Danio rerio: one gene and its partners. The protein of the gene in region 1 interacts with the protein of each later gene in a pairwise test. Links are inferred from orthologs where the notes say so. Each region holds a gene or a part of one and is shown in the gene's direction. Other genes may lie near its edges.

Region 1 (7,724 bases):
CTGCAAGATCTGCTACCAGATCTATTTTCAGTTGTCAGACACCTGCATGAAAATATACTACAGTAACATAAAGAGGTTGCACCATCAGCTAAAATGTTGCTAGAATTGACTTTTATATATGGGCAATATATATTACATCACCAAAAATGATAGATGTCATGTCAATGTGTTGTGCGATAAGTCGATATATTGATTATTGTGAAAAGCATATTTGATTAGTCACAGTTTTGGCTTTTGTACCTTAAAATCTAAAGAGTTTGTGCAAAATGCATTACTGTAAAGCATTTTATACTACATATTAATTTAAAATACAGATCTTTAAGGGGTGTACTCAGTACTGTATATATACATACACAGGTTTAAGTTCACATCCGAAAACCAAAGTTACACCCTTGTGTGTGTGCGCGTGTGTGTAAAAGAGTGGGGGCAATAGTGGTTACTAATAATAGAAAAAGACTTCAAATTGGTCACTTTAAATATCTGTAATTTATCAATTTAGTGATCCAAACTTACCATCCAGCAGGACCCATTGTCTCGACACGGGCTTTTGCTCTGTTCGCTTCTTTAAGGAGCTCCTCCACTGCTTTTCTGGGGAAATTATTTACAGTGAGACATTTGACGACAGAAACGGGTTAATTTATGTATTACCGTGACCCCAAATTAAATAGCACGTTTAAATCTCTGACGGTGCAAAATAGACTTTTCTAGGATACCGAAATGTTTGCTATATAACAAAAGTATGGTGCTTCGTCTCAGGTTTTGGTTTACACAAATTTACTGACCAATTTGCACGAAGCCGAGGGCGTTAGCATATTCTGCATCGTAAACTAGTCCAATAAACTGGTCAAAAGGGGGAAAATTGACATTTAGAAATATCATACCTTTCCAGTTCACTGTCTTCCATGATCTAATTAACCTTAAACCGCAGTCACTGTTAATTTATAGCTTGTTCCAGCTTGCTAACCAGTAACGTTAGTGTTTACTATTCTCGAGGACCCAATTTAGGACCCCGGTCCGCTTGACCATCTTAGTTTTGACTAAATTTGCGGAAGTGAGCAGACAGTAAAATTCAAACTAAAAATGTAGAAACTATCTGCACTTGGAACAAAAAGTACGTACATTTAAACAGTCTATTTTAGTTTATTATTTGACTTAATAATAGGTTTTACGATCGCACTTTAATCAGGCATCTCGATGGTCACAACTGATATTCGACTAACAGCGCCGTCTGCAGCCTGTCAAACGAACGGTAGTGAAAAAATCAGAGTCATTTCATCAAATGGTTCATTTGAACAGCAGCTCTGAATGGAACAGTTCAACATGTTCCGACGGTTCTTTACGTCATTACATGATCCCAAAGCGCATTACATGACATAATATCTTTACAGTCTTTTTATTTATTTAACTTATGTAATTTATATTTTAGTTTATTTTATGTTATAGGTTACATTTGTAGTTTTGGATGTCATGTTTAAATTGTATATTTGCTGCTGTTTAATAATAATAAAAAAATAATAAATAAAATAATAAATAAATCAATTAATCTCTTTTTATCTTATCTAAATACATGAATGTTGACAATACTTGCACACTTATCACATCTTTTCTATAACTGTGATGTCTCTTACATTTTAGTATGATGTTAGTGACGTGTTATTTGGGCAAATACATGTTAAAAGATTGTATTTGCTCTTTACACACACACACACGCACGCACGCACGCACGCACGCACACACACACACACACACACACACACACACTCATTAGAGTATGTTGGTATGTTGTTAATTTTTACATGCTACAAGGTTAATATTTTATTCATAAACAGAAGTTTGCGAAGTGTATACCAAAATGCTATTAATTTTTATTAGAAATGGAAACTTTGAAAAAGTTTCTAATGCAAATTAATAACAAAAAAATGACTTGATGTTAGATTTCATGAAGTTTTTTTTTCTGGTACTGATCCCTCACTGTAGTCTGATTGTGTGCCAATCTTTTTTTTTTATTACTAGTTATATTTAATTTAATATTTTTACTTGTTATGTTTTTGTTTTAATATTATTTCTGGATGTGGCTTTTTGCACTTATTGTAATGGTCTTGGATATAGTTTGTGTCTGAATTTTTATTAATACATAGTGTTATGTTTTAATGCTTATAATTAAAAAAAACTTGATCAAATATCTTAATTCTAAGTCACTTGTGAGCAATAATTACTATTTAATTAATGTTTTTTTTCTTTAGATATTTATTTAAATTAAATGTATTTAAATATAAGTTTAGATTCACTAAAAACAGAAATGCATTCAGAGGAAAAAAATTATATTTGTTTTCCCAAGTTACTTATATTTGGTTGTTGTTGAGAAGTCACTGGGTGGCGCAGTGGGTTGCACGTTCACCCCACAGCAAGAAGTTTGCTGGTTCGAGCTTCAGCTGGGTCAGATGGCATTTCTGTGCGGAGTTTGCATGTTCTCTTCATGTTGCGTTTGCTCTGGGTGCTCCGGCTTCCCCCACAGTCCAAAGGCATGCTGTACAGGTGAAATGGTATGCTAAAATTAACCATAGTGAATGAGGGTGTGTGTTTTTCAGTGATGGGTTGTGGCTAGAGAAGTTGGTGGTTCATTCCGCTGTATATATATATATAAATTCATGTATTATAAGTAGTGTATTATTAGCTGTTATTGGCTGTAATAAACAGTTTTTATTTCAAGGTCCATAATTGTACCCTAAAGATAATTTGTATTTATAATAAACAGACCAATAAAAAACTAAATAAATAAATGAATAAAATAACTATTTACAATCACATGCTTTAAAAATAAACGTGACCACTGCTGCTGTTGTTGACAAAAGTCATTAGTCAAGTTACATTACTTGCACACTCACGAGCTAAAATTAAATGTTCCCTCTAAATGGATCCTAATGGAAAAATCCCGACAAGGACTCTCGGTTCTCCGTTCAGTGAGTCGGGCAGTCTGTGCTACGAGAGTCGCTCGGACGGACTCATGACCGAATTGTGCAGACCAGTTATAATATTCGATCCATCTGATTTGTTCAACAGAGTCGACTCAAATGAATCATCCGCTCACGAATCAAACACCGCTCCAAGAAAGATACGGGGGTGTTTTGACGTGCGGATGCGGCTCGGGGAAGCTGCGGTGGATGTGATTGAGCTCCATGATTCTCCCCTCTCGGGGCCAGAGTTCACAGCATCCGAGAAGAACGCGAATAGGTAATGTTATTCAGATATTCATATAATCACTCGCTGGTCTTTTATTTCGTATTTTCTTAGATGTCATTGTCGCCCATTGTACTGGCGACGGCACAGAGAGAGAGACAGACAGCAAACGAAAAATTTACAGCGAGCCGCTCTAAACCAGGAATAATGAGGTATCGATATTTGTGCGTGTCATAGATCCGGATTGGATACGCCTAATTAACGAGACAATTCATGCAGGTGGCCTCCACAGACATTTTAATTCAACAGAGAAAGCGCCGTTATTTCTCCTCCCCCCCCCCTCCCTCCATTAATTTATTTTTTGTTGCCTACCTGTTTGTGGATGTACAACCTCTCTGAACAACATTAAGGTCAATGTATTGATTGGGGAAAGGTGATGGGTGTCAGAAATGGTGGTTTGTGGATAGATCTGCAGAATGGAAACATGTCACTGCTCCCGAACGCCGTTTGCTCAGTAAATACAGACTGTGCACAATCAATTCAAAGCTATGGAAATATGTCAGATGTTGCAAGCTTTCCCTGTAGCCGAGATGTTTACAGATCAGCCGTTAGTTGTATTGTTTTGTCGTGTCAGTTCAGCTGAACAAACATTTAATTCTTCATCCGCCAGGCAGCCAGATAAGAGGCGAATGTGCCATTTTGCCAGTGAGAACACAACTGTGACAGTCAGATAAAGATACAAGGATACAACAAGTGAGTGGCCTTGAACAGCACTTGCGGTCAATATCTAAACACTCCCTTGTGATTAAAAGTCTGAGGAGAATGAACATAGGATGGAAACACTAATGGCAGCCGCCCAATGACCATTAAGCATCCCAGCCTTTATGTAATGAAGTCCCACATCTTCGCTATCAAGGCACGAGCTGCTTCTTTTGGTTCAGACTGTCCACATTAAGACATTTACAGTGTGAGCATGGGTATGTGTGTGTGTGATGAGACGTTGACAGGGCTTTGTAGTGGGAACAGAGGAGCCTTGTGTCCTCATGTTTTATTCATGTCCAGCTGCGAGATAAACACAGAGGCAGGTAGTCACGGAGATGCCGTCCACAGAGCAGGCGTGAGGCCGGTCATGGACGCACAGCTGTCGGATAACGTGCATATAGACGATAAGTGTCGTTATTGTTGGCCCAATAGACTGTCCCCTGCTGTTTGGTGGCATTAAATAGGCAATTATCAAGGAATAGTTCAGGAGTTTTCTCTTTCTAGAAGCCACATAGTAAGCATTTTTTTGTTTTAAAAAGATGTCTAAAAGACGTCTAAACATAGTCGTCTTGGCTAAAACAAGGCTACATTTGGACTGTCTAGTAATAAATCGAATAGCCGTCTAGCAGAGGCTATTTTAGAGACAGACCATTTAGAAATAGGTGATTAATAATTATATGAATGTAAACTTTTGGATCTCATACAGCTGTCCCCCCCAGTTTTAAAACGTCCGCTACGCCCTTGCGTCTAAGAACAAGCCAAAACTAGTAATCAAATTAACAGAAATAACTGACTACAGATGTAAAGTCTGTCTAATCTGTCTAGTTTTGGGCTATTCTTAGATGTCTTTTAGATTTTTACTGACAGCCCAAGTTCAGCCTTGTTTTAGCCAAACTGTCTTAGTTTAGATGTCTATTAGACGTCTATTAATCACAAAATTGTTTGCTGGGCATGGACTCCATTAGGCATAGGGCGATAACCGTTTTCAAGGTATACCGCGGTTTGGAAAAGTCAAGGTTTTAAAACCGCCAAAATTTTCTGTTATAATCATTCCTAAGGTGTGTAAGATTTTTTTATTTACATTTTTTTAGGACAACAGTATCTCCAGCAGAGAAGATATCAAAAGATGCCATTTTAAATTGTAAAGGAATCTGTGTTTTTGAAACTGATAAAGACAGCAGAAGTCAATGATTCATTTAAATTCTTTAGCCTGACATGTTTACTGCTCCAAAATACTTTACATGTTTCTCAAAATAAAATATATTTTGTTTAAAGGGGAAAAAATGATTGTTTTTTTTTAGAGCAGTAATCACAATACTGTGAAACCGTGATATTTGTTTCCAAGGTTATCATACCGTCAGAATTTATACCATAATACTACTGAGAAAAGGAACCACCATCTTAAAACGTTTACTGTGTAAGTAGACTATTACAGTATAATTTGCAAGAAAATGACATCCAATATTAACATTACTCATTTTCAGAGTAAAATTAGTTTCTACGCCAATTTCTAAAATGTAAATATTCGAGTATACTACTATAGTTCTGCACTCTTAGATGTATTTTTTTGTGAAATGTATGCATTTGCTAAATCATATCTGTCATTTTACAATTCTTTCACTTATTATTCCCTCAAAGTTTAAAAACTCCAGTTCAAGTTCTCTCAAAACTACAATTGCCTCATAATTTATCTCCCTCATATTTCCATTACTTTTTTCCTTGATCTAAGGAAATATTAAAGGAATAGATCGTGAAATATTAGAAAAAATGCTGAATTAATTTACTCAATGCATAAATCGCAACATAAATCTTCTTTACTATTCTACTAAATAAAAAGCCAACTACATCTTAGATGGCCTTAGAGTAAGTTAACAGCAAATGTTCATTTTTAGAAAAAAGTTCTGAATAAATGGTGATGGTGAGTAAACACAAAGCCAAGGCAAGTTTATTTATAAAGCACATTTATTACACAGTGGCAACTCAAAGTGCTTTACATGAACAGGAATAAAAGAGACAAGTATAAGAAAATATAAACAAACAATAACAGTGATTAAAAACAGATTAAAATGTGTTAAAACAGGTCTTAAAAGAATGAAAAAGAAAAGAAAGACATAATGTAAGCCGTATTCCTTTAAATCTACACAGTATCAAAATCAGAAACAGCCTTCGGAGGAAAGATTTTAATTATAACATAGTAGGTTTTTGATTAATATTTATATTTAATGACTCAGAGGGCTTCCGCTCTGGTTTTTATGAACAAGTGCTCTCCATTGGAATCTTACACAGCATCTGTTTTTCGTCGTCTTCTCTTGCCCCTCCTTTTCTCACTTTCACATGAAAACCTCTTGACTCGGTGCTCCCTGCCTCAATCCTGGATAATTCTCTCTCTGCGGGATTGAAAGATTTCTCTAGGCGAGAGAGCATGAGATTACACTGCCAGATTAATGTGCAGGAGTAAACCCACACTGCTCTGCAACATAATCTCATCCTGGCACACACAAACACTGTCTCTCATTCACAATAGTTACCTCACTGTTTCTCTGCCACCCTTCAGAGTGATGTCACTGTGCCTGCCAGGGGGTGGTCGTCCCCTGCCGGAGTCGCACAGCCTCTGACGCCCGCGGGATGGACTGAGTGAGTGTAGCCAAAGCCGAGAGCAATGGGCAGTCTGGGAGAGGGAGTGGACCCGGGCATGGTGAGCGAAGCTCTTCTGGAGGCCCTTTGCTCTGAATGTGGACAGATTCACCGCACCTGGGAGAACCACCTTTATAACTATCGTTTGGAAGTGGATGATGATTTGGTGTGCCACATCTGCCTTCAGCCGTTAGTTCAGCCCCTGGATACACCATGTGGCCACACCTTCTGTGCCCGCTGTCTGCGCAGCTTCCTGCAGGAACGGGACTTCTGTCCACTGGACCGTGCGCATCTGCAGCTGCAGGTCTGCCGGCGCTCCAGCATTCTGGTGCACAAGCTGCTGGACAAGTTGTCGGTCACCTGTCCGCTCACGCCCTCCTGCTCGCTCAGCATGCCTCGCTGCGACCTGGAGGCACATCTCAAACACAGGTAAAGTTCTCAAGACAAATATTCAGACTCAAATAAGCACTATTTGATGTCAATGTTTTGGTACTCGAGCATTAGGTTATTTTTATCTGATGCCATTGATGTTGCATGAAATTCAGATAGAGGGCAGGAAGTGGTTCTTTTACATAGGAACTGCAATCAGAACATCAAAATGTGTATATTTTATGTTGTTTATAATTGTTTAGATTGGCCAAAATAAGAAATGGCGAACAGCTTTTTATAGACTGCCAAAATTTTTTGCTCAAAAAGTCAAAAAGGGGGGAAAGTTTATGAAAATGTCTGAAAAGCAGAAGAAAAGGAGGCATGTTATCAACATTTAATCAATACATCCATGTGTACAAACTTTTTTTTTTGAACGTGATAATTAATTTAACAGCACCAATAAACCTTATATACAGGCCTAGCTATGTGTATAAAGTGTGCTTAATAAAATTCAGATACAAACACCTCCATATTTATAATAAATCCAGGAGAATATAAATAGCCTTGCCATGCAACCGCTATAATGAAATCTCTGTATTGTTTTGCAATGATCCATGCCTTTACTGTCGTTTCGACAGAATAAACCACTGTAAAATTAACGTCTATATGTGCAGGAGTGAATGGTAAGATCGACAGAACAAAATAGATTATTCAACCCTTGGGACAAAAAACTAGACTTGTATTATTGTGGAGCTCTTATTACTCCCTTTTACAAGAATAAG
Region 2 (7,874 bases), on another chromosome or scaffold:
GCTGGATCTGGCAGCTTCATGGGAATGACTGAGGTCAACCAACCTACAGTTCATACTCAATACTGCAAGAAAACACCTCTGCTAAAACACTGATCTGTCTGTGAATAGATTCCAGAGATTTAAACTTCTTATTCCAAAAATTCAGTTATTACTATTGTCATTTCTGTATCTTTGAGTGGACAAAATAAGCATATCTTCAGTTTTTCACTGATATGTCAAGTCATTTCACTTTACATTTATGACCAGTTTAAAATAAATACAAGCAATGCCACTACTTTTAGAAACATACATACCTTAATAATAATAAGTTTGTATGTGTGTGACAAAATTACTTTTTAAAATTAATTTCAGTTAAAGTGCTTACTAGATTGTTTTCATTTTTGTCTCTACAGAAAGTAGGACAGAGAGCTAGAAGTATAGCATATCCTGTAATGTTTCTACAAGCTTTTTCATAAAACACCCATTCCATTATCATTGAATTAATTTACCACAAGTAAAATAATTCAATTGTTCTCATAATTTACACCAAATATTTGTGTGCTTCCGTTCTGCTTTAATGCACATTATGACTCCATTCATATGATTTTTTTCTTCTCTGTTGTTCTCTCTGAGTTTTACTTGCCTTGTATATAAACATGATTGCTGTGAATGGTGTATAATGCAGTTGTAATTGGTTTGTACCATCTTCAGTGGGCAGTAGTTCAATGTCTCTTTCTGAGTGTTGGAGTTATGAGTCATGTTTGTGTACACTTAACACATTGTCAGATATGAAATAAATGTGGAACTTATGCAACACTATGAATTGTTTGTGTGTGTGTGTGTGTGTGTGTGTGTGTGTGCGTGCGTGCGTGCGTGCGTGCGTGTGTGTGTGTGTGTGTTTATTTTTAGAAATAATATTTGGAAATAATATTTTAAAAATATATTATTTAGCTCACAATTAAGACTTTTCCCAGAATTTCTTCTATCATTATTCGACACTTAGATCACACATTTTTGAATTCTTTCTTGAAATTCAATATTAATCTTTCTTTTGAAGAATGTCTAATTACATGAAATTCTGAATTACTAAATGAAGTCTTTTTTTTTTATTCTTGTAGTGAAAACAGACTTCCATAAAAAGTATAAACTTACGAATTTCATTAAATTGGTTGTTAAATCATATTAGTTATTATTTATTTATTTATTTTACAAATAATGTATTAGGCTATTCATTATTTGCTCTAGTTTTAGCAGAATCCAGGCGTGATGAAACAATTTGTCATGTTACATACATTTACAGACTGTGGTTATGTGAGTGTGAATACTATGTCAACGTGAATATTGTGAGACTGACTAAAAACTAATAACAGAAGTTTGCTGATATTTGTGAGCATATGAGGGCCTTTTGCTAGTTGTAACTTTAATATAAAACTTCTTTTTATTTATTTTTTCAAAGCAGAATTTAATAACACACATTTAATCTTTAAATATACAAATTGGTCCATATAAAATAACTTACGTTTTTACTATGTATTGCTTTGTTTTCCTCCTAAGAAAGTGATTTTCTTTTTTAAAATGGTTTGTAATTTTATAATTGTGACAAAAAATCACTATATATGAATGCATTGGTACTTTCCTTTTTTAAAGAAAACTGTGGCCTGAAATTCATTATTTTTTATTATGTAAATTAATAAACATTTAAGTAAATGATGTACCGAACATAACTGAGAAAATTATGAAAAAAAAAACACTTACAGAAACAGGAATAAAAACTGTAACAGGAATGTGTGTGTGTTTGTGTATGCATGCTTGTGTCAGAGAGAATCCTGTATGTGCTATGTGTGAGAGAGAGAAAGAGGAATATCTGTGTTAAAAGGACGGGCTTTGTAGGTCTTAACACTGAAGAAGATGGAAAGAAAGAATACAACAGAACCGTTAGAGAGAGGAATAAAGAGAGGGTTGCTCATTCCTCTGCAGTATGCCATGTGAGTGTTTTTGGCTCCTACAGTACATAGTATGGGTCTTCTCTATCTATTTTAACATAATAATACAATAATAACATTACTTGTCCACAAACCACTAATAATTTGATTGCTAAAAGCAATTAACTTAACAAAAAACAATTTCCCTAACCTTTCCTAAAAAGCTTGACCCAGTTTGACCCAGACATATTTTTCAATTTTCATGTTACAACCTGTGACTGGCCTTGAGGGTTTCATAAAATAATGTCCTCAAATAAGTAGCAAAAGGATGTCTTCACTGGTCAAACAAACTGTTGACTGTCAGTGGCAAAATTGTCATTTTTTGAGAAAACTATTATTTTAAATATCTTACAACTTCAGCAAACATAATGTGGAAATCAGGTGAAAAATATAATAAAAACTAATATTCATACTACTAAGTAAATACTTCAGAAGATGCTTCACACTCTTGGTGTTACTCCTTCCTGTTACTCTTCAAATACGTAACAGGACTGAATTTTTAGCATAAAATTTGCAATTAAATGCCATTTAGCCACATGCATGCTGTACATGCTAATAGCTTAAAGAAATTCAGGCAATTTTCATGATTTGCCAAATATGTGAATTAGCTATTGTGGTTATAGGCTAGGGTAAAAATGGAAAATATATATCTATAAATATATATATATATATATATATATATATATATATATATATATATATATAAATATATATATATATGCCTTAGACAAAAAAGGGCACTGATATATAAGAGGACTGATTAAAAATTGTGTGTATAAATGTATTTGAGGCAAATATGAGATATAGAGTTACACAACAATCTAAGATTTTAATAATTATATTTTACTGTGAACTGCAGTGTTAGAGACTGGGGACAAGCGAAAAATTTCAGTGTTTTAGGTCGTTTTTAATGAATTAAATTTGTAGTTCTGACGGTAAAGGACACTTTGCTTAATAATAATAACAAGAATGTTTGAGTTACTTTTCTTGCATATGTATACATATTTAGTCCTGGGGAGAGAAAAGGCACTCATTCGGTGAAATAGCTCATGAATAAATCAGTGTAACGTTTATTGTTCACATCATTTATAGAATTAAAAGAAAATCAATTACTACCTACCAATGTCAAGCTATATGTGCTTCATTTTATCCATTAGTATATATTCCCTTAGTTACTAACCATATCGTAGACTATTTGAACGATACTTCCATCCTCACTGGCCTCAAAGTAACTTAACAAAATTACAAGCGCTACTACGAAGAAGGCTCTTAACTTATGAATATTAATTACGTGACGTTCAGCTAGCGGAAGTAGACTATCGAATTAGAAACGCGGAACCCTGAAGGCTTGGCTTATTAGCATTACTACTCAGGACACGACTGGACGCCTTTTCACGTTTATCAAGCAACGTCACCGCGATCTGATTAATAATTCACGAGGCAAGCCTTCGCTATAGTAAAAAGAAAGTGGGACAGTGTGAAAAGAGGAGGGGTTTGTTTTAGTCGTGCGTTTCCGGTTCACAGTATGGCGTGCTGCCGTGCAACTGTGAATCATTGACAGGACAGACATACGCTAAAAGAGTAAGAAAGGTCAGTAAACTAGCAGTAAAATTATATAGGTTTATCACTAAAGTTAGTTATCTCAGCTAACTGTAAAGCGACTGTAAAGGCCATTTTGCTTGTCGGGGTTTGCTCGCATAATGTTAGACAACAGAACAAGTCTCCACGCTCAGTGAATCACATGCATGAATCAAAGTTAGAGATTTTAATAAAGTACATAGAATTTTAAAAGCTTATAGTTATAGCAGTGGCTGGCTTAAATCAAGACATAATTATATGTGTGACCCAGCAAACCTTACAGACTGCATTATTCCGTTATGGTTTAACTTTGAAGCCAAGGTTAACATAAACATTAAAACGTTCTCCCATTTCAAACCTTTATGAGTTTTTCTTTCGTTCTGTTGAACAAAAAATGAAGGTGTTCAGAAGAATTTTTATAAACTTGTGGGCTCTGACATCCATAGTAAGGAATGGACGTCGATTGCTATGGGTTTCCAACATTGCACTAAATATCCTACATTGTATTATACACAAGAAGGAAACTTATAAAGATTTTTGTAAAAAGGGGAGGGTGGGTATACCATGACAGAATTTTAATTTCTTTGAGAATTGTCCCTTTAAATATGCTTTGTAAAATGATTTAATATTTCCCTGAATGTGTTTAGACTCATGTACAATATTTTGCCCTTTTTTATCAGTGTAATCCAGATCATGGCTGAAAAGTTTGACCCACCTATAACCTTGAGTCATAATTTCCCCTCATTACATCACTGGGATTCTCACCTGGATCATCATGCTGTGGCTGATGGACCAGATAGGTAATGAATATGCCAATACAGTCCTATTCTGAACATGAAGTCATCCAAATATGATCTTCCACATGTTTCAGAATGCAATTAATCGAATAACTGTTTTGCTGCAGAATATATATGGATTACAACGCCACCACACCAGCCGATCCAGAGGTGATCAGGGTTGTTACTGATGCTTTAATGGATGCGTGGGGAAATCCCAGCAGTAACTACCTTCCAGGTATGAAGCTGTACAACGTTATTCACATTTAAATAATCCCCGAAAAATAAATGGGATTTGTTCCCCCTCGCATTGATCAAAGATTAGAGTGGAGGGGTAATTCAATTCAATTCAGCTTTATTTGTATAGCGCTTTTACAATGTAGATTGTGTCAAAGCAGCTTCACATAAATGGTCATAGTAACTGGAACAGTGTGGTTCAGTAACTGGAACAGTGTGGTTCAGGTTTTAGTGTTTAAGTTCAGTTCAGTTCAGTTTAGCTCAGTTCAGTGTGATTTAATCATTACTGAGAGTTCAAACACTGAAGAGCAAATTCATCGATGCGTAGCTCTACCAATCCTGAACCATGCGAGGCAGTGGCGACAGCGGAGAGGGAAAAAAAACTTCACCTGATGGGAGTGAAGAAAAAAAACCTTGAGAGAACCAGACTCAGTTGGGCACGACCATTTTAATTTCTCCGCTGGCCAAAAGTCTTGTGCAGAACTTCATTCGCCGTGGTTTATGCTGGAAGATGGCCTCAGCGAAGACTCGTCTGTCCCTGGAGCGTCGCTGGAATCAGACACATGTTCTCCACTCCCCACGACCATCAGCGCAGCAGCAGCTCAGGATATGGCCTGGTCCCGGATATGGAATCCTTGGGATCATCACGTCGCTGGTCTTGGATCCAATCAGTGACTCCGCCTAATCTGAGGACCTCGGGATGAGTATCCCCAGGTGAAAATAGAGAATAAAGAGAATAATTAGCGTAGCTGCTGTTCATAGTGTATATAAGCAAGATGCAGAAGCCAGTGTGGAACCCGCTAGGTGATGCATTGAGTGTATGCTTTACTAAACAGATAGGTCTTTAATCTAGTTTTGAACTGGGAGAGTGTGTCTTAGCCTCGGACATTACCAGGAAGGCTATTCCAGAGTGTAGGAGCCATGAAAGAGAAGGCTCGACCTCCTTTACTTGATTTTGCTATTCTAGGTACTACCAGAAGCCCTGAATTTTGAGATCTTAAGGAGCGAGTTGGTTCGTAGCGAGACAGAAGGTTGGTTAGATAAACAGGAGCTAGATTATTTAGAGCTTTATAGGTGAGAAGTAATATTTTAAATTCAATACGAAATTTAACAGGCAGCCAGTGTAAGGAGGGTAAAATTGGGGTAATCTATCCCTTAAACAATATTTAAAATAGTTTTCCACTGATCTCTGATTAGGTTTGAAAGCCAGAGACATCATCTACCATTCGAGAGATGCCATTGCTAGGATGGTCGGTGGAAAAGCAGCAGACATTATTTTTACTTCAGGAGGAACTGAGGTGAGTCATGAAAATGAGCTTGTTTTTTGTTGTTGTAAAAGATAAAATAGAGCATCCCATTTGTTGATAACTATATAAATATTCCCTGTGTAAGGCAGTCAGTTTATTGACATTTAAGAATGTTTAGCCAAATAAACATTTATGAAACATAAAAGATTATTATGCTCTACTTTAATGACAAGGCTATGTACATTACTTGTTTCTGAGAAAAGTAAAAGCAGTCACAGCAGCAATCGTTCTCCTGTATGTCATGTTTAAAGTTCATGGCACACCCAACTTGGGTATTAAAAGTTTCCCAGTAGTAAATATGTTTTAAGAAGTCGTTAACATCCGATTAAAGACTGGGAAACTTATATTTGCAATAATTCCTTTCTATAGCATGTGAAGGCAGCAATAAAACAGGAGCGTCCAAACCTGTTCCTGGAGAGCCACTGACCTGCAGAGTTATGGTGGGTTCAGGTCATGACAGACAGATATTTATGAATTGAAAGCACATGAATGCAAACACACAATGTTAAAGTTACAAGTGGAAAACTCCCAGAGATTCCGAATTGTGGCTGTCAGTGAAAAAAAAGAACATGTTGCATACCATGGATAGTTTTAGCTTGATTTTCATTGCTTTATCACATTTATGAAATCGTGCTTCACCACACTCAAACCTGAGCGCAAGTATTATGTTTTTAACAGTGTCAAAACATTCTTTTCAGTTTTATATGTCATATTGAATGCCAAGATAAGGCTTATTTCCTTTAAAACATTGCTTAATGTGAAACAGAATATTTAAATACAAGCTATTTACATGTCATTTTGACCCCTAATATAGAGTATTGTAATGCCTCCTCTGACAAAACAGATGCTGTTGCTCACAGATCAGCATAAAACAAAGATCAGTCCATACAGTTTTCCTGTATTTCTTTCATCTGTGTGTATTCACAAACATTAACCCAATAAAAAAAAAAAAAAAAACAATAATCTAGCAAAAACTGCTAGATTTATTATACTTGAAATACAGTAATAGACTAAACAAAAGAGAAAGGTTGTTTCTTGATGAGTCTTACTGCGTGTCAATTTTGACGATTGTCATATAGTCTGATATTACAGCAACTCTAATCTTACAGTGACATGGGGATCATATTTGTAAAGTCTAACAAACTACAGTTGTAAGTACTATTAAAAAGTGCAGAGTTTAGGCCCAGCTTTACCCTTCAAGCAGTAGTCCAAATGGAGCATTACACTTATGTTGAGAGGTGCATTGGATTTACATAATTGAGTTATGTAAAGGGGCCTTTATGGAATGCCACTTAAACTTTATTTAGCTCTCTGTTTCTGAACTTTCAGGCCAATAATCTGGTGTTTCACACAGCGGTTGAGCACTTCAAGAAGAGCATGATTTCAGCAGAGGGAAGCACCTCAAGCAAGCAAACAAATGGAAGAGGCTCTCTACCTCATGTCATCATCTCCAACGTGGAGCACGACTCCATCAAACTCACAGCTGAAAACTTGTTAAAAGAGGGCAAAGCAGGTCAGCAGGACTGGGTTCACTGTATAAAAGTTTGGTTGTGTCCAAAAAATGTATACTCTATACCTCTAGTGCAGGTACTTATTTTGTTAATTAATTATTCCAGAAAAAAGGGTTCTTCTATAAAGAATGAGTGTAATCTGGATGTACTGCATTCACCATATTTTCATAACCATGTGATCTACTAGTGTCAGTTAAGTTGCTTCACTGCCAATCACAAATCCTCTTCTTTGACCTAGCAAAATGTCTATCATACGCATACCCCAAAATCTCTCCAGATATAATAAATAACCGGTGCACTTTTTGTGTTCTGTTTACTGTGAATTTGGGCATACAAATTGGCTCTTCGCATATTGATTTCTGCTTATTATATTGAATAGAAGTATACGTTTTGGATGCAGTCATTGTTTTGTTTTTTGAAGATTTAGCTTTAGGTTACTACTATATAGAGGAATTGTGCATTCAATTATGTTGCTATTTGTGTTAAAGGGATTGTTCTGGAGAT
Region 3 (7,276 bases), on another chromosome or scaffold:
GTTAATCAATATGTCAGATTCTGGAGTGCATTACAGGTCTAAAGAACATTATAAATGATAAATAATTTTAAATAAAACAAATACATTTATAGATATGGTATATACGTTTAGAATTTTACTCACCTGGGAAATGGAGGCCACGTGAATGGTTTGTGAGCACAATTAAGTGCACACAGCATGCCATATCATCTAATAATTGTAAGAAATAATTCCAAAAGGCAACTGATTTTGCAAAGCCACATAAAACAAAACAAAAATATTATGTATATGCAGAGTTTAGCAGCTAATCAGTCGGAATCAGCTGAGGTGGAGTGATGGCGACCAGCGAGACCTAGCTGTCACTCAAATGGCCACACCCTTAATTATGCAAACTTAATATAACTTAAAATAAATGAAACCGATGAGATAAAAAAAAAAAAACTCAGTTGTTATGAAGGGTAATATCAGCTATATGAACCAAAACTGTTTTTTGTACCAGGCTGTAAACACCTTTTTTTCCCGGTAAAGTTGGCCATTGTAACAGTGGGCTCAAAAAGAAATTTGCTCCACATAGAGCCAGGGATAGCGGAATTTCGATGAATTGCAGTTTCAGTTACTTCCGTATTTGCTTCACGAGGGAGAGCAGGAGGTTGCTGCTTGATTTTAACATGTAGAGGTAAGTGATCCAAAATGATTGTAACAATCATTGACCCCTAAATCTATTTATGTCTTAGAACTGTAAAAATAAAAATAAATAAATAAATAAATAATGCCAACCAGAACAATTGTTTAAACCTAAAATTAAAAGCCTGGTCACATGAGCTGTCACAGTAGGAAAGAATGTAAAAATATATATCATCCAGAGAGTACACAATTCCATATATTCAAGGAGAGAACCCCAAATTTCCTAATAAAGTCTAATAATTTGATTTAATAAGTGAATTTTAAACTACTGAGACCTTTCATTGTGTTAATGTGTGAGATTGTCTTTCAGCATGACAGTATGGGATTGCATTCTCTTTGCTATTCAGGATCTGAAGCCCAGTAATATAGTGGTGAAGTCCGACTGCACTTTAAAGATCTTAGACTTTGGACTGGCCAGAACCGCCTGCACTAATTTTATGATGACACCTTACGTAGTGACCAGATACTACAGAGCGCCAGAGGTCATCCTGGGCATGAAATACAAGGAGAACGGTAATGCTGTTTTTTTTTTTGGCGGTAATGCCCTTCAGAGCCAATGAAGATATTGAAATGGAATTGTGTTATTAATATTTGATTGTCTTTTTGCAGTGGATATCTGGTCTGTAGGCTGCATCATGGGCGAAATGGTTAAAGGGAGCGTCATATTCCAGGGCACTGATCGTATCCACTTAATTCTAAAACCTGAAAAATAAGCAGTTAAGCTTGCATTTTTTGCAATGCTATTTTTAAATGTCAGTTTTATGTTTTAGTTTTTCAAATATGCTCTTCAAATATATATTCATCTGCATTTATTTGATCAAAAATACAATAAAAACTTTAAAAAAAAATTTAAAAACTGAATTTTTATTTTATTTTATTTTTTTTTACATTTAGAGTAACTGTTTTCAACTTGTTTATTAAAGTGAAATAAAATTGTCCCCAAACTGTGAAGCAGATGATGTTTTCATTTTTAATTTCCTTTATAAATACATTAATACCCTAAATAACTTTTTTGAAAAATTATTTAAAGGAACATATTTAGATGAATATTGAAGCATAATATGACACAGAAGCCTGGAGCAATGATGCTTAAAATTAAGCTTTGCATCAGACAAATAAAGTACATTTTAAAACACACAGTATACAACTAATATCTCAATCTGAGTGCTGTTTTAGCAATTTTTTTTTTACTTGTGTTTTTGATCGAATAAATCTGGCCTTTGCATGCAGAAGAGACTTTTTTTAAACATTAATGTTTCCACACTTTTAACTTGTATTGTACAATGCATTATTCTGTTCTAGTAATAACTGCATGCAATTCCATCATGATCCTCCAGAGGTCTGTGAAACCCTCATCTGATAAATTAAACCACACACTACTCCTCTGAATAGTTCTGCAAACTTTTCCTCTCTGGCCATTCTTTTGATTAACCATACTTAATCTTCTTTTTATTCTCCATTGTCTGTTCTATTCAGTAAGGGAATAGGTAATTTAAAAGCAAAAAGTACTGTTTACCAATGCTGTATGCCCTTCTTTCTTTTGTGGAAAGACAATAGTAGAATGAGAAATAATTTGTTGCAAAAACGGTCCTCTGCATGTCATACCATATATTCTAGATGTTCTGGAGGTTTCATTTAATCTAATACTGCAATTAGTAAAAATCCTGACTTTGATTTTGTGCACAACCAACTCACAAATGAAAAGAAACCATTACATAGTAATGTACATGAATACATTCTTTGATGCTATAACTTTTACTTACTGTTACTACTTTTACTTTGATACTGTACTTTCTACTTGCCTTTTATATGAAAGAGCACAAGCTGGATATTAATAAAAAAAATAAAATCTTTAACAGAGCAAAAAGGTTGCTGGTTAGAATCTTGGCTAGGCCAGTTGGCATTTCTGTGTGGAGTTTGCATGTTCTCCCTGTGTTCGCGAGGGTTTCCCCTATAGTCCAAAGACATGCACTATAAGTGTATCAAATAAACTAAATTGTCTGTTGTATATGAGAACAAACATTGGCAGTTCATTCCGATTTGTGGCGACCTCTAAAAAGGAAACTAATGAAAATAAATGAAAAATCTTTTAAATTTTATATTGGCGTCTGAAGAAAAAAATGAATGGGTATACGACATTGGAACAACAGTAGGGTGAGAAAATGGTTAAATTTTTTGGGATAATGATGCCTTTAAAAAAAGCAACTGTTCTTAATTTCATCATCCTCTTTAACTAAGCTGATCTCAGATATTGACCAGTGGAATAAGGTGATCGAGATTCTGGGAACCCCCTCTCTGGAGTTTATGAACCGTTTGATGGAGACTGTAAGGAACTATGTGATGAACAAACCCCAGTTTCCTGGAGTCAGTTTTAATGAGCTTTTTCCTGACTGGGCCTTCCCATCAGAGACGGAGCATGACAAGATCAAAAGTAAAACCATCCTCGCTTTTCTTTCATGTCTGTTTCTTTTTCTACTTTACACTAGCACACTCCTAAAGGCATAATCCACCCAAGAATGAAATTTCTGTCATTTAATCACTCTCCACTTGTATCAAATCTGGTCAACTCATAAAGGTTTAGAACTAAATGAGGGAAGGCTGAGTAAATTATCATTTTTGGGATAACAATGCCGTTAACTGTAAACTTTACTTGACACCCGATTTCTATTCTTTCCAATGTAGCAAGTCAAGCACGAGATCTGCTTTCCAAGATGCTGGTAATCGACCCTGAATGCCGTATCTCTGTGCAGGAGGCTCTTAATCACCCCTACATTCATGTGTGGTACGACCCAGCTGAGGCTGATGCGGTCAGTGCACCTCTGTCTATCTATGTCACTTTGTCCTGCCCAGACTTGCACAAACTGTTTTACAGGGGACGTTTTTACGATGTCAGGGAGGTCTTGGGCCTTGAATTTGTACTGATTGTTTTATGTGTTCAGCCTCCTCCACAGATCTCAGACAAGCAGCTTGAGGAGCGCGAACACAGCATCGAGCAGTGGAAAGGTACAGTCGCCCTCTGCTGTCAACATCTTCCGTTAAAAGCTACCTGTAGATGTAAATAAATGTCTACAGCAGAAATGATCATTGTGGTGTATTGGTTAAATGATTCCAAGGTCATTTGTGTTCTCATTTTAATAAACAGTAATCGGGTTGATTTTGTGTCATTAAAAGATTTTGACATTAAAAGTTCATAATCCTAATGTTTGCTAAAGGGTTTGTAAAAAAATAAAAAACATAGAAATCCACTGAACTCTGTTAATGATTTCTTGGGGTGGGGTTTCCCTCCTTGCAGAGTTGATTTATAAAGAAGTAATGGACTGGGAGGAGCGGAACAAGAATGGGGTACTGAAAGAGGAGTGTTTAGGTGAGTCACATATTTTCTTTAATAGTTATTCTTTTATTATTTAAATAATCTGTATTATGCTGCTACTTTTATTCCAAAGCAGATTTATAATGCATAAAGTGAATGATGCGTATTTAAGGTAATTACTAATGATGGAACAAATTATGAGAGAAAAAATAAGTCTGACTGATCTGCACTGCCCAGCATTGTTCAGGGCACTGATTTCACTCTCCCTCCAGCTCTCTCGCAATCTGAAACAGCTTTTACTAAACGCAAAAATCGCAATGCTATGAAACATGCATCAAACTACGCATCATGGTGGCGTAGTGGGTAGAACGATAGCCTCACAGCAAGAAAGTCGCTGGTTCGAGCCTCAGCTGGGTCATTACTGTGTAATGTTTGCATGTTCTCCCTGTGTTGATGTGGTTTTCCTCTGGGTGCTCCGGTTTCCCCCACAAGTCCAAAGACGTGGTACAGGTGAATTGGGTAAGGTAAATTGTCTGAAGTGTATGTGTGTGAATGAGTGTGTGTGGATGTTTCCCAGTGATGGGTTGCAGCTGGAAGGGCATCCACTGTGTAAAGCAGGTGTGTCCAAACTCAGTCCTGGAGGGCCGGTGTCCTGCAAAGTTTAGTTCCAACCCCAATCAGACACTGGCCTAGCTAATCAAGCTCTTACTAGGCAGTCTAAAAACATCCTTGCAGGTGTGTTGAAGCAAGTTGGAGCTAAAATATGCAGGACACCAGCGCTCCAGGACAGAGTTTGGACACCCTTGGCGTAAAGCATATGCTGGATAAGTTGGTGGCTCATTCCGCTGTGGCGACCATAGATTAATAAAGGAACTAAGCCAAAAAGAAAATGAAGGAATGAAACCTTTGCTTTCAAAAAGCGAAGTTGTTTTTTTGCTGCACCGATCAGATCACAAGAGCAACTCATTCCTGCTATTTGCAGTAGTGCTGCCTTGGCACCGCATTCAATATTAATAATAAAAGTTTTTGTAATCTTAAATGTGGTTATTTCATTGGCTTTTAAGCTGTAAAATGATGGTTATTGAGTTAAATGTAAATATGTAAAAATCAATTAATATTATTTATCACTAGATCTACAGAGGTGGTAATTTTGACCATTTGTAATTTTTGCTGTTTAATAACTTTAAGATAAAACACCTGTATCTATAATTCCATGACTTTTACTAAAATTGTGTATTTTCCTTCTAACATTGATATTTTATTAAAATGAAAAAAAAAAAAAAACACAAAAGAGTTTTTATTTCTACCTAGATAAACCATAGCATGCATTTTGATGTCTGCTACTTTTCCCTGTAATTTTGCCTAGCAACTTCATGCTAACCAAAACAACTTTCTGTTGGCAAAAACATATCTTCAAAGATATGTCTTTCAAAACAGCATGTTTAGTGCCATGAAAAACCTTCTCCCCTGCTTGTGAAAGTGAAAAAAAAAATGGATTCATTCATAAGTGGTCTAATGTTGCCTAACTGTATATATTTATAGGTTGTATTACCAAAAAGGTTGTATTTTTAGGGTAATGACTTAATTAACTATGATAACAGACAATCAAAGCTTAATTTTATAATCTCTGTAGAAGTTTTCTATGACAACATGATGTCTTGTATGAGAGCGGTGACCGCTATTGTAATTTTATTAGCTATAGAATGTTGGTAGTTCCAATCATTCGTTCCTTCATTTTCTTTTCGGCTTAGTCCTTTTATTAATCAGGGGTCGCCCCAGTGGAATGAACCACCAACTTATCCAGCACATGTTTCACGCAGTGGATGCCCTTCCAACTGCAACCCATCACTGAGAAACATCCACACACACTCATTTAGCTTACCCAATTCAACTATAGCGCATGTCTTTGGACTTTTGGGGGAAACCAGAGGACCTGGAGGAAAACCACGTGAACACATGGAGAACATGCAAACTCCACACAGATATGCCAACTGACTCAGCTGAGGCTCGAACCAGCAACATTCTGGCTGTGAGGCGATTGTACTACCCACTGCACCACCTTGACACCCTGTGGTAGTTCCAGTGTTAATGAAATAAAAATAATTATTACAAAGCAGTTTAGGGTTTCCAGCCAAGTGCATGCAAAATGTTGGGTTTCACCCTAAAATTTTTATTTCAGTGCATCCCTACACTGTAAAAAGAATCCTGGTTACTTTAAATATTTAAGCTTAATCAAATGAATCTATTTAACCTATGTTAGACTGACTGAAAACAGCTTGTGTAACTTATACAATTAAGTTAGAACATGATATTCTTGGTTTAATAAGTTTCAATGAACTAAAACATTTAGTGTCACGACTAATTGATCTTTTTTTTTTTTTTGAAGTGTAGTAATTGCAATGACATGAATGCAGCTAAATTTAGTTTCACGTCAAATGCATTTGTTTAGCCTTGATGTTTATAATAAATTCAATCACTTGGAACAGTATGAAACAGGTGCGGGGTTAAATGTTGCCTGCATTCATAAGTATAAATAACACATTACCCTCAGAGACACTCATAGTAATGGATTGCTCTTTGTGCTTTGTAGACGGTACGGTTAACAGCAGCGCCACTCCCTCCCAGTCGTCCTCTATTAATGACATCTCATCCATGTCGACGGAGCAGACGCTGGCTTCAGATACCGACAGCTCTTGCATTGACACCCTCACGGGCCCATTGGAAGAGTGACTCCAGTGACTTCCAGCTCTTCTCCCTCATGTCACATCGCTGTGTGGGCCATGCAGAGGTCTGGACTGAACCGTGGGTGCACGTTCATACAGCTTCAAGTTTACACTTCACTATTGCTTTTAAGGGACTGCTTTTTCCTCTCTTCTCATTCGTGTAGTATTAGCTTTTGAGTTGTAGGCTGATGCTCAGATTACACTCCAACAAAAAAGCATCTTATTTTCTTTTAGATTTTATAAAGGAACTCCGTTCAAATAGACAGAAGAGTGCATTAATGCGTTTACATTTCATTTTACAACAACTAACATGCCATCTTCTCCGGTGGAGTTCTTATTGCAGCAGCATATGTAATATCTGAGACTATCCCTGTCATTAATGCCCTCGCTCTCCCCCTGTGATGTAGCTTTTATTACTATTCATTTCATCACCTAAAAGAAGCACAGATATAAATTGTTGAACTTTATAGCTAGCCATCCCCTCCAGAACCAATTCCTGTTACAAGAATTGCTGCATGATATTAACAAGAACACTTATTAGACAGACAGCGCAACTACAGATTACTGAAATACGCCTAAA
Region 4 (7,753 bases), on another chromosome or scaffold:
TTCAAGATCTGAGGTAAACTATTTGTCTCTGCTTTCAGTAGAATGCCATAAATATCATGTAAAATTAAATTCAAACTCATTAGCATTTAACACTGAATAAGGCACATGAGGTGTACCTGAAATGATCACTTTCTTAGTTTTCTGTTGTTCACTTGTGAGAAATATGGTAGAAGCCATTTCTAATATATCAATTCGAGTTGTTGGTTAGAATAAAATCTCTCTTTTTTAAAATAGAAAATACTCCTTCTGTCTTGTGTCGTTTAGAACATGGTTTAAATCTCTCGCTCCTATCCTCAATCTGGCAACCTGCGCATGCGTTTGTTTTGTTCCAGGAGTGCAATATCTAGTTCAACCACTGGGTGTCTTACTTACCTACTGCACCCTCAATAACAAAATTGTCATTATCAGGTGAACCAATCCATTAATATGTAGCCACAAAGTCTATTTGTTCTTCAACATATCCTATTGGAAGTTCTGTATAACAGCATTCAGTTAGTCAGAAAGAGAAACTTTGATTTATATGAGGGGATTTTGGTACGCTTTTATTCACTGACATTCTGTTGACAATTTTAACAACGTGTAAAAATAATACCGCAGACTTGCATACATATGAACTCTCTGCTGTCTGTGCAGTCAACTTTACTCAGACTGTTGTCATGTCTCGCTGTGAATGTGTGCGGAGAAAGAGTTTCGTACTGGCACTGTGTGGGCAGACCACGGTGAGCAGAAAAGATCCGTCTTGGCATTTGACGCTTGTTGTTTTCTCCAAGCAGCCTCCAGCACACTGCTGTCCTGATGTGATGTTTTTAGGAAACAGTGAGTGAAGTTTGGGGACAGGTGTTGGGACACTGGGCATCTGTCCTGGGGCATCTGTCTCACACAACTCTATACTGCAAGGTCATCCTGACAACTACAAGGCCCGGTCACATCTCTGTGGATATGAGATGACTGTAGGACACATTGATTGTATTTCTCTCAATAGATAATTTCTTACAACAACTTAAAGCGAGACACTCCAGGCAAAAGACTTCCTTCATGCACCTGTCATTTTTTAGATTTGCGGCTTTGGAGAGTTGAAGTGTCTTGAAAAATATCTAGTAAAATATTATTTTCTGTCATCATGGCAAAGATAAAATAATCAGTTATTAGAAATGAGTTATTAAAACTATGTTATTAAGATTTTAGTTATTAAAATGAGTTATTATATATATATAATATATATATTTTTTTTTTTGAGTTTGAATGTAATGTATATATATAATTATTTTTGTTAATCTCTCCAATAATCTTTACATTATTTACAACTTAAATATACAGTGCAGTTAAAGGTTTTGCAAAAACATCAATAACAAAAAGCAAATACATAAATTAATGCTTGTAGTACAAAAAATTATAAATCCTATAAAATTTATATAAATCATTATACATTTTCACTGAGAATATACTATATTCCACAAAATTATTACAAAGAAATGTAACATGTAAGTTACAGACTGAATGAAACATGTAAGTTTAAAGTAGAAAAAAAATATCTAAAATATTAATTTAATTAGAAATATTTGCAGTTTTAAGGGATACACTTATAAGCAAAGTTCAAAACAGTAAACTGTAAAAAAATAAGATTTAAATGCTAATATAAAAATGAATATCATTTAAAATAAATGTAAAAAAGGCATTATGGTGGCACAGTGGGTAGCCTCACCTGGGTCAGTTGGCATTTCTGTGGGGAGTTGCAAGTTTGTATGTTCTCCCCGTTTTCCATAGGTTTCTTCCGGGTGCTCTGGTTTCCCTCACAAGTCCTTAACATGTGGAATAGGTGAATTGGGTAGGTTAAATTGTCAGTAGTATATGTGTGTGAATGAGTTTGTGTGGATGTTTACCAGTGATGGATTGCAGCAGGAAGGGCATCTGCTGCATAATACATGTGCTGGATAAGTTGGTGGTTCATTCCGCTGTGGCGACCCCAGATTAATAGAAGGACTAAGCCGAAAAGAAAATTATATATTATAAAATAAGAAAATAATATTTTTTGTAAGACAAATCTGTCCCTCACAGATAGTGAGTGAGTCTCTGTTTAGAATAGACATGATTTTATGATCACACTTACACATTAATCCTAGCAAATTTCTCTTGTGTGAGAAAGTGGCATGAGAAAGAGAAGTATGGAAAAAAATATTAGTTCATTTTTTGCCCTATACCTGCAGTGTGTTTCCTTAAATATTCATTATCAAAAGCTTTCTGCTGATGTCTCACTCATAGCGTCAGCGTGCTGCTCTAGGGAGAGTTGTGGGCAAACATGCATAATACATGTAAAGTGTAATCTCCAGTCAGCAACAGACTGGCACTCACTCTAGTCGTCCTCTGGCACTGGACACGACCGCAGACTCTGGCGTAGGGCCACTTTCTCACTCAAGAGAAATTTGCTAGTGTAAGTGTGATCATAAAATGGTGTCTATTATAAAGAGAGACTCACTAACACTGTCTGTGAAGGACAGATTTGTCTTACATAATATATATTATTTACATTTATTTTAAATAATTTTAGTTTTTGTTTTAGTATGTATATGTATAACTGCAAATATCAAAGATTAAATAAATATTTTTATTATTTAAATTTTTTAATTTTAACTTACAGTCTGTTACTTACCTGTTCTTTGTAATTATTTGTGGAATATAGTAATTTCTGAGCGAACAAATGTATGATTCATTCATTCATTCATTTTCTTGTCATCTTAGTCCCTTTATTAATCAGGGGTCGCCACAGCGGAATGAACCACCAGCTTATCCAGCAAGTTTTTACGCAGCGGATGCCCTTCCAGACGCAACCCATCTCTGGGAAACATCTACACACACATTCACACACACACTCATACACTACGGACAATTTACAGTAGCTTACCCAATTCACCTGTTCCGCATGTCTTTGGACTGTGGGGGAAACCGGAGCAAACCCATGCGATGGCAGGGAAAACATGCAAACTCCACACAGAAACGCCAACTGAGCCGAGGTTTAAACCAGCAACCCAGCGACATTCTTGCTGTGAGGTGACAGCACTACCTACTGCGCCACTGCCTCGCCCACAAATGTATGATGATTTATATAATTTTTATATGATTTATGTTATTTTTTTATTATGGAGTTGTATTACAAATATTAATTTATGTATTTGATTTTTGTTATTGATGTTTGTGCAAACTTTTTGCCCTGAGTAACAAAAAGAAAGCAATTAACAAAAACAATAACATATTTTTAATGTTTAATTCAAAGTGTAGCAAAAGATGTAACAGATATAATAAAAAAAATAACAAAATATTATGTCTTATTTTGTTGTGTTAGAAACTTGATTTATGTGATATTATACATTTTATGTGATTTTTTTTTTACATTTCAGTAGGCCTAAATATGCATTTGTAGGTCATTTGAAGGTTTCATTTCATGGCTTTGTGATGATTTGTTATATATGTAAATATTAGGTAGGCTACATGTAAATAGTATAGTTTTGGTATTTATGTCACCAAGTTTGTTATGTAAGGTTGTCTAAATAAAATCACCTCAAGCATCTTCATACAGCGCACCTGTAGGGGACGCTGGTGGCGACTACAGTGTTCACTACTAAGTGAACATGGCAGGGTTTCTGTTGCTGTCAGAGCGCTCGCTGAATGATCGAAGCACCTCGTGTGATTGGCTGTGGTGGGAGTGGGCGGGGCCTGAACAGCGCCGCTTTTATATAGGAGCAGGAAGCCTTGAGCTTCAGACTGAGAGAAAACAGAAGGATTGAGGAAAGTGAGCGAGGGCTGATGTAGGGTGTTAAAAGAAGACAACACTGAGAGCGGTTTGTAGTGTTTTTCGTACAGGACTGGTAGACCAAAGACGAAACACCTCTCCAAAATGCTCTGCCATGTAACTCGACCGGACGCGGTGGTGATGGAGATTGAAGTAGACGCGAAGGCGAACGGAGAAGACTGTCTGAATAAGGTGAGAGCATGAATGAAAGTCTCAATGTGAAATTTATGTGATGGTTATTTGTAAACTGGTCTAAAATGTCCATCATAGCTATTTTGCATTGCTTAAAATGGCATATAAACAAATGTTGACAAAGAGATGTAGCCTGAGCGCGGAATGAATGAGTTCGAGTCACACATGGAAACTTAATATCAGCATCATTCTGTTTATATCTTTAATGCCATGCGTTTATTTAGGCAAAAATGGCGAATAACATTTAACATGCAAAGCATTTTTGAGTGCTTGCGTCTCTTAAGTCTATGATGTTTATTCAATATATCAAACGACCAAATATAATGTGTTAGCCTACTAATGTTGCTGCGAAAAAACAATAAACAAAAAAAATAATAAAGTTTGCATCATAATTCAAGACACAAGTGTGTTCTTGAAACGTTTTCGTTCATATTTTAGAAAGAGAACGATGTTTGGGGTATTCCCGAACAATAGTGTGCATGTGTGATGGCATCCTCGAGGTTACTAAAGTTCATTTGCTTTAGCAGCAAATGTTTGTCGCGTGCATCGAGGTACTGCTCCTCTCGAACAAATATGAAAAAATTTAAGCTTTTTAACACCTCTTTGCTTGTAACAAATGTTTTAAGAAGGTATCTTAAGTTGTTTTAATTGTACGCTCAACTCAAGCATTTCAATCAAACAATTTAGAAAGCAACAAATCTAATTTGCAGAGCAAATGTGATATACAACGAGGCTCAAGTTTGAATCATTTAATGTAGTTTGCTAAAGTCAGAATGTGATGCCGTTGACTTAAAGTTTGTGTTCGTAGAAGCATGCTTTAAAGCGATATTTAATCCCAGGGCAGTTTAAATGTTCCCTTTAACAGGGATTTTTTTCTGAACTCTGTTATGTAACTGATATTCTGAAGGGGGAATAATCTCCTAAGGCTCATAAAGAAATAATCAGCAATATTTTATTTATTTCAATGAACTGCACAATTAAACCTTATTGAAATGACCTTGTGAATATGTTGTTGTACTACAAACCTGTTATTGAGATAAATGTCCTGATTTCTTATGTTGCAAAAAAAAAATCATACTGTGGCATACAAAAGCTGTTTAGTAGAATTTATAATCTGCTGTTTTTTTACACTCCTCATACAGGATTATCATCATGCTAAACAGCAGTTTTTAACCATAAAGAATTGTTTCACAATTAAGAGAGTTTGTGCTATTTTTAAACCCAGATTATAAAACCCAGCTTTTGCGTTGTTTGCCATACATTGCAGTGTCAAACATGTGCAGCATAAAAAAAAATGCGTTTGTTTGATGTGGAATATATATTGATTTAAATTAAACGTATGATTTGTATATTTTGTTTGCTAAACTTTGTCCCAAGTATATTAAAGTTATAATTAAAATAAATACTATTAGTGTGGCCTTTATAAAAAAGGAAAACATAATTTAATAAATAAAAATGCTCATCATTTTTCATATTTTTAAAGTTTAATTCATAGCGGTAATTGCAATTCTGTCGTAATTAATTTCACAAATGTATTTTTTGTTGTTGAAAGATAGCTGACTTTTACTTGGTATTCATGCCTATATATTTTTTAAATTTAGATAGAAAATTTTAGCAATTCCACAATTTCTGAGTGAAATGTTATTTTTATTGCTAGTATGGCTAGATTGTTAGCTCATAATTAACATGTCAAATAACTATGCAGCTATCTGAGGTAAAGTTTAAAAGTGAATGGGGAACCTGAAACAACAACATACACTGTAAAACCCAAAAGTCTGAAGTTTATTCATTTCTGAAATCTGAAGTTTACTCAATTTATTAAAAGTTAAGTCTATTCGTTTGAAAAAAATTTTAACTCTGTTGAAGATAATGAGTAGGCCCACACGTAATCTGTGCACGCAGATTTTTGGCCCGTCGTGGAGTCTATTTATTTACTTGTGTAAATGTGTGTAAATTGATATTTATTCAGTTTTTAAATTCATTTTAGTAATATTGTCTAATATGAAACTGTTCACATGATTTATTTACAATACAGTTTGTAAAGTTATTTATTTTTTATATTTATATATATATATATATATATATATATATATATATATATATATATATATATATATATATATATATATATATATATATATATATATATATATATATATATATATATATATATATATAATTTTTTTTTGTAGATCTATTGTATAGGAGACTTGCTTTGTTTACCAATTAAGTGGATCTAGATGGATTTGCATTCTAAACATTAAAGTTAAAGCTATTGTTTTTGTCATATTAAGTTTAGTAATGATGCGCCCAAAATAATTCTGCATAAATCCATAGATTTTTTTACAAAATTCTCTGCAGAAATAGCAAAAACAATTTCTGCAGATTATGTCTGGCCCTGGTGATGGGTTAATTAAATGACTCATTACTTCAACTTAAATTGGAGTAAGTTCACAGTACTCGTATAAGTTACTTTTTAAACTCTGATAGTTTGTAGCAATCGGCTTCCTCACTGTTTGAGTTGCCTTAACTCATTTGGTTTGACAGTACCCTGTTGGTTTGAGTTCTCTTCATTTATTGGGTTTTACTATGCTTGAATTGCTTTATTTACTCAAATGGATTAAGTTCACTGTACTCATGTAGATTAGTTTTTGAACTTAAATGGTTTGTTGCAATTGATTTCCTCAAACGGTTTGAGTTATCTTAACTTTTTGGGTTTTACGGTGCATTGTTTTTATATATATATATATATATATATATATATATATATATATATATATATATATATATATATATTGGTAAATCTCAGTGGCGAAAGGTTAATACAAACTATTCCCAATTAAAACATAATCAGAGTAGAGTTTCAAGTTTTCTTTTTCTTTCTTACAAGAGCATATTAATATAGAACATGTGCACGTATGTGTAATTTATCAGAGTTAATCATAAATTTATCTTACTGTAATATTTCATTTTAAAAAAAAATCATACTCTTGAGTTTTGGAGACTTTAACAATGCAAAAAATGTTTGTTTTTTTTTTTGTTTTTTTTTTCCTTGTTAATTCTTGTAAACAGGTATGTCGGAAGTTGGGAATTATAGAAGTGGATTACTTTGGGCTGCAGTTCTCTGGCAGTAAAGGAGAAAACCTGTGGCTGAACCTGAGGAACAGAATCTCCCAGCAGATGGACAATCTCACGCCCTGCAGACTGCGGCTCCGAGTAAAGTTCTTTGTGGAGCCTCATCTTATTCTGCAGGAGCAGACGAGGTACGTACACTCAAAAACACAACAAACATTCATAAAATTAGATCTTGTTTGAGGAAGTTGAGAACATTTCATCATTCTCTGTGGGTAGAGATTGTTTTGAACTTCCGCTTCAGAACAGAAAAGGTTTCAGAAGAAGAGCAACAGGAAGAAAAGCCACTGCGCATGTGGGTGTATGAATATTTAGTGTGAGATCAGTGGAAGCAAAGCCATTTTTCTGCCATTCACTGTATCTAATGTGGATTCAATGCCCGACTTGTGCTGCATCTCGTTTTCTGGAGCCTGCTATAAGCACAAAAAATCTAGGGCAAGTTACATATTAAATATTGATTTAGCAACACTGGTTTTCTCAACTACTGTTCTTTTGGCTGAAGTCATGCGTCTCTGGTAGCAAAGCAGCAAGCGCACGGTAGTCTGTAAAGTACAGTGGTTTGCCCTGTAGTAACCCTGCTCCCTGTGGGTTACTGTAGGTCGTTGTGCGATGAGCGGCAGCAGGAAATGCGATCCCCTGCTCAAA

What was found.
Region 2: the proteins of lnx2a (region 1) and scly interact in binary tests that used the Homo sapiens proteins (3 or more experiments, as listed by UniProt). The link is inferred for Danio rerio from reciprocal best matches to the Homo sapiens genes LNX2 and SCLY.
Region 3: the proteins of lnx2a (region 1) and mapk9 interact in binary tests that used the Homo sapiens proteins (3 or more experiments, as listed by UniProt). The link is inferred for Danio rerio from reciprocal best matches to the Homo sapiens genes LNX2 and MAPK9.
Region 4: the proteins of lnx2a (region 1) and mylipa interact in binary tests that used the Homo sapiens proteins (3 or more experiments, as listed by UniProt). The link is inferred for Danio rerio from reciprocal best matches to the Homo sapiens genes LNX2 and MYLIP.

The regions. Positions count from the first base shown.
Region 1 is NC_133199.1:25,550,955-25,558,678, reverse strand, and holds the start of lnx2a (ligand of Numb protein X 2a), read left to right. Parts: upstream 1-3,093; 5' UTR 3,094-3,231; intron 3,232-6,493; 5' UTR 6,494-6,598; coding exon 6,599-7,002; intron 7,003-7,724. Other genes in the region: si:ch211-140b10.6 (protein POLR1D-like), read right to left, coding at 514-588, 882-904.
Region 2 is NC_133181.1:29,761,518-29,769,391, forward strand, and holds the start of scly (selenocysteine lyase), read left to right. Parts: upstream 1-3,481; 5' UTR 3,482-3,551; intron 3,552-4,219; 5' UTR 4,220-4,232; coding exon 4,233-4,339; intron 4,340-4,443; coding exon 4,444-4,553; intron 4,554-5,749; coding exon 5,750-5,850; intron 5,851-7,188; coding exon 7,189-7,372; intron 7,373-7,874. UniProt on the Homo sapiens protein: Catalyzes the decomposition of L-selenocysteine to L-alanine and elemental selenium.
Region 3 is NC_133196.1:35,025,182-35,032,457, reverse strand, and holds part of mapk9 (mitogen-activated protein kinase 9), read left to right. Parts: intron 1-1,010; coding exon 1,011-1,176; intron 1,177-1,272; coding exon 1,273-1,344; intron 1,345-2,911; coding exon 2,912-3,094; intron 3,095-3,345; coding exon 3,346-3,470; intron 3,471-3,602; coding exon 3,603-3,666; intron 3,667-3,955; coding exon 3,956-4,027; intron 4,028-6,563; coding exon 6,564-6,703; 3' UTR 6,704-7,276. UniProt on the Homo sapiens protein: Serine/threonine-protein kinase involved in various processes such as cell proliferation, differentiation, migration, transformation and programmed cell death.
Region 4 is NC_133194.1:28,752,038-28,759,790, forward strand, and holds the start of mylipa (E3 ubiquitin-protein ligase MYLIP-A), read left to right. Parts: upstream 1-3,754; 5' UTR 3,755-3,889; coding exon 3,890-3,976; intron 3,977-7,048; coding exon 7,049-7,239; intron 7,240-7,753. UniProt on the Homo sapiens protein: E3 ubiquitin-protein ligase that mediates ubiquitination and subsequent proteasomal degradation of myosin regulatory light chain (MRLC), LDLR, VLDLR and LRP8. Activity depends on E2 enzymes of the UBE2D family.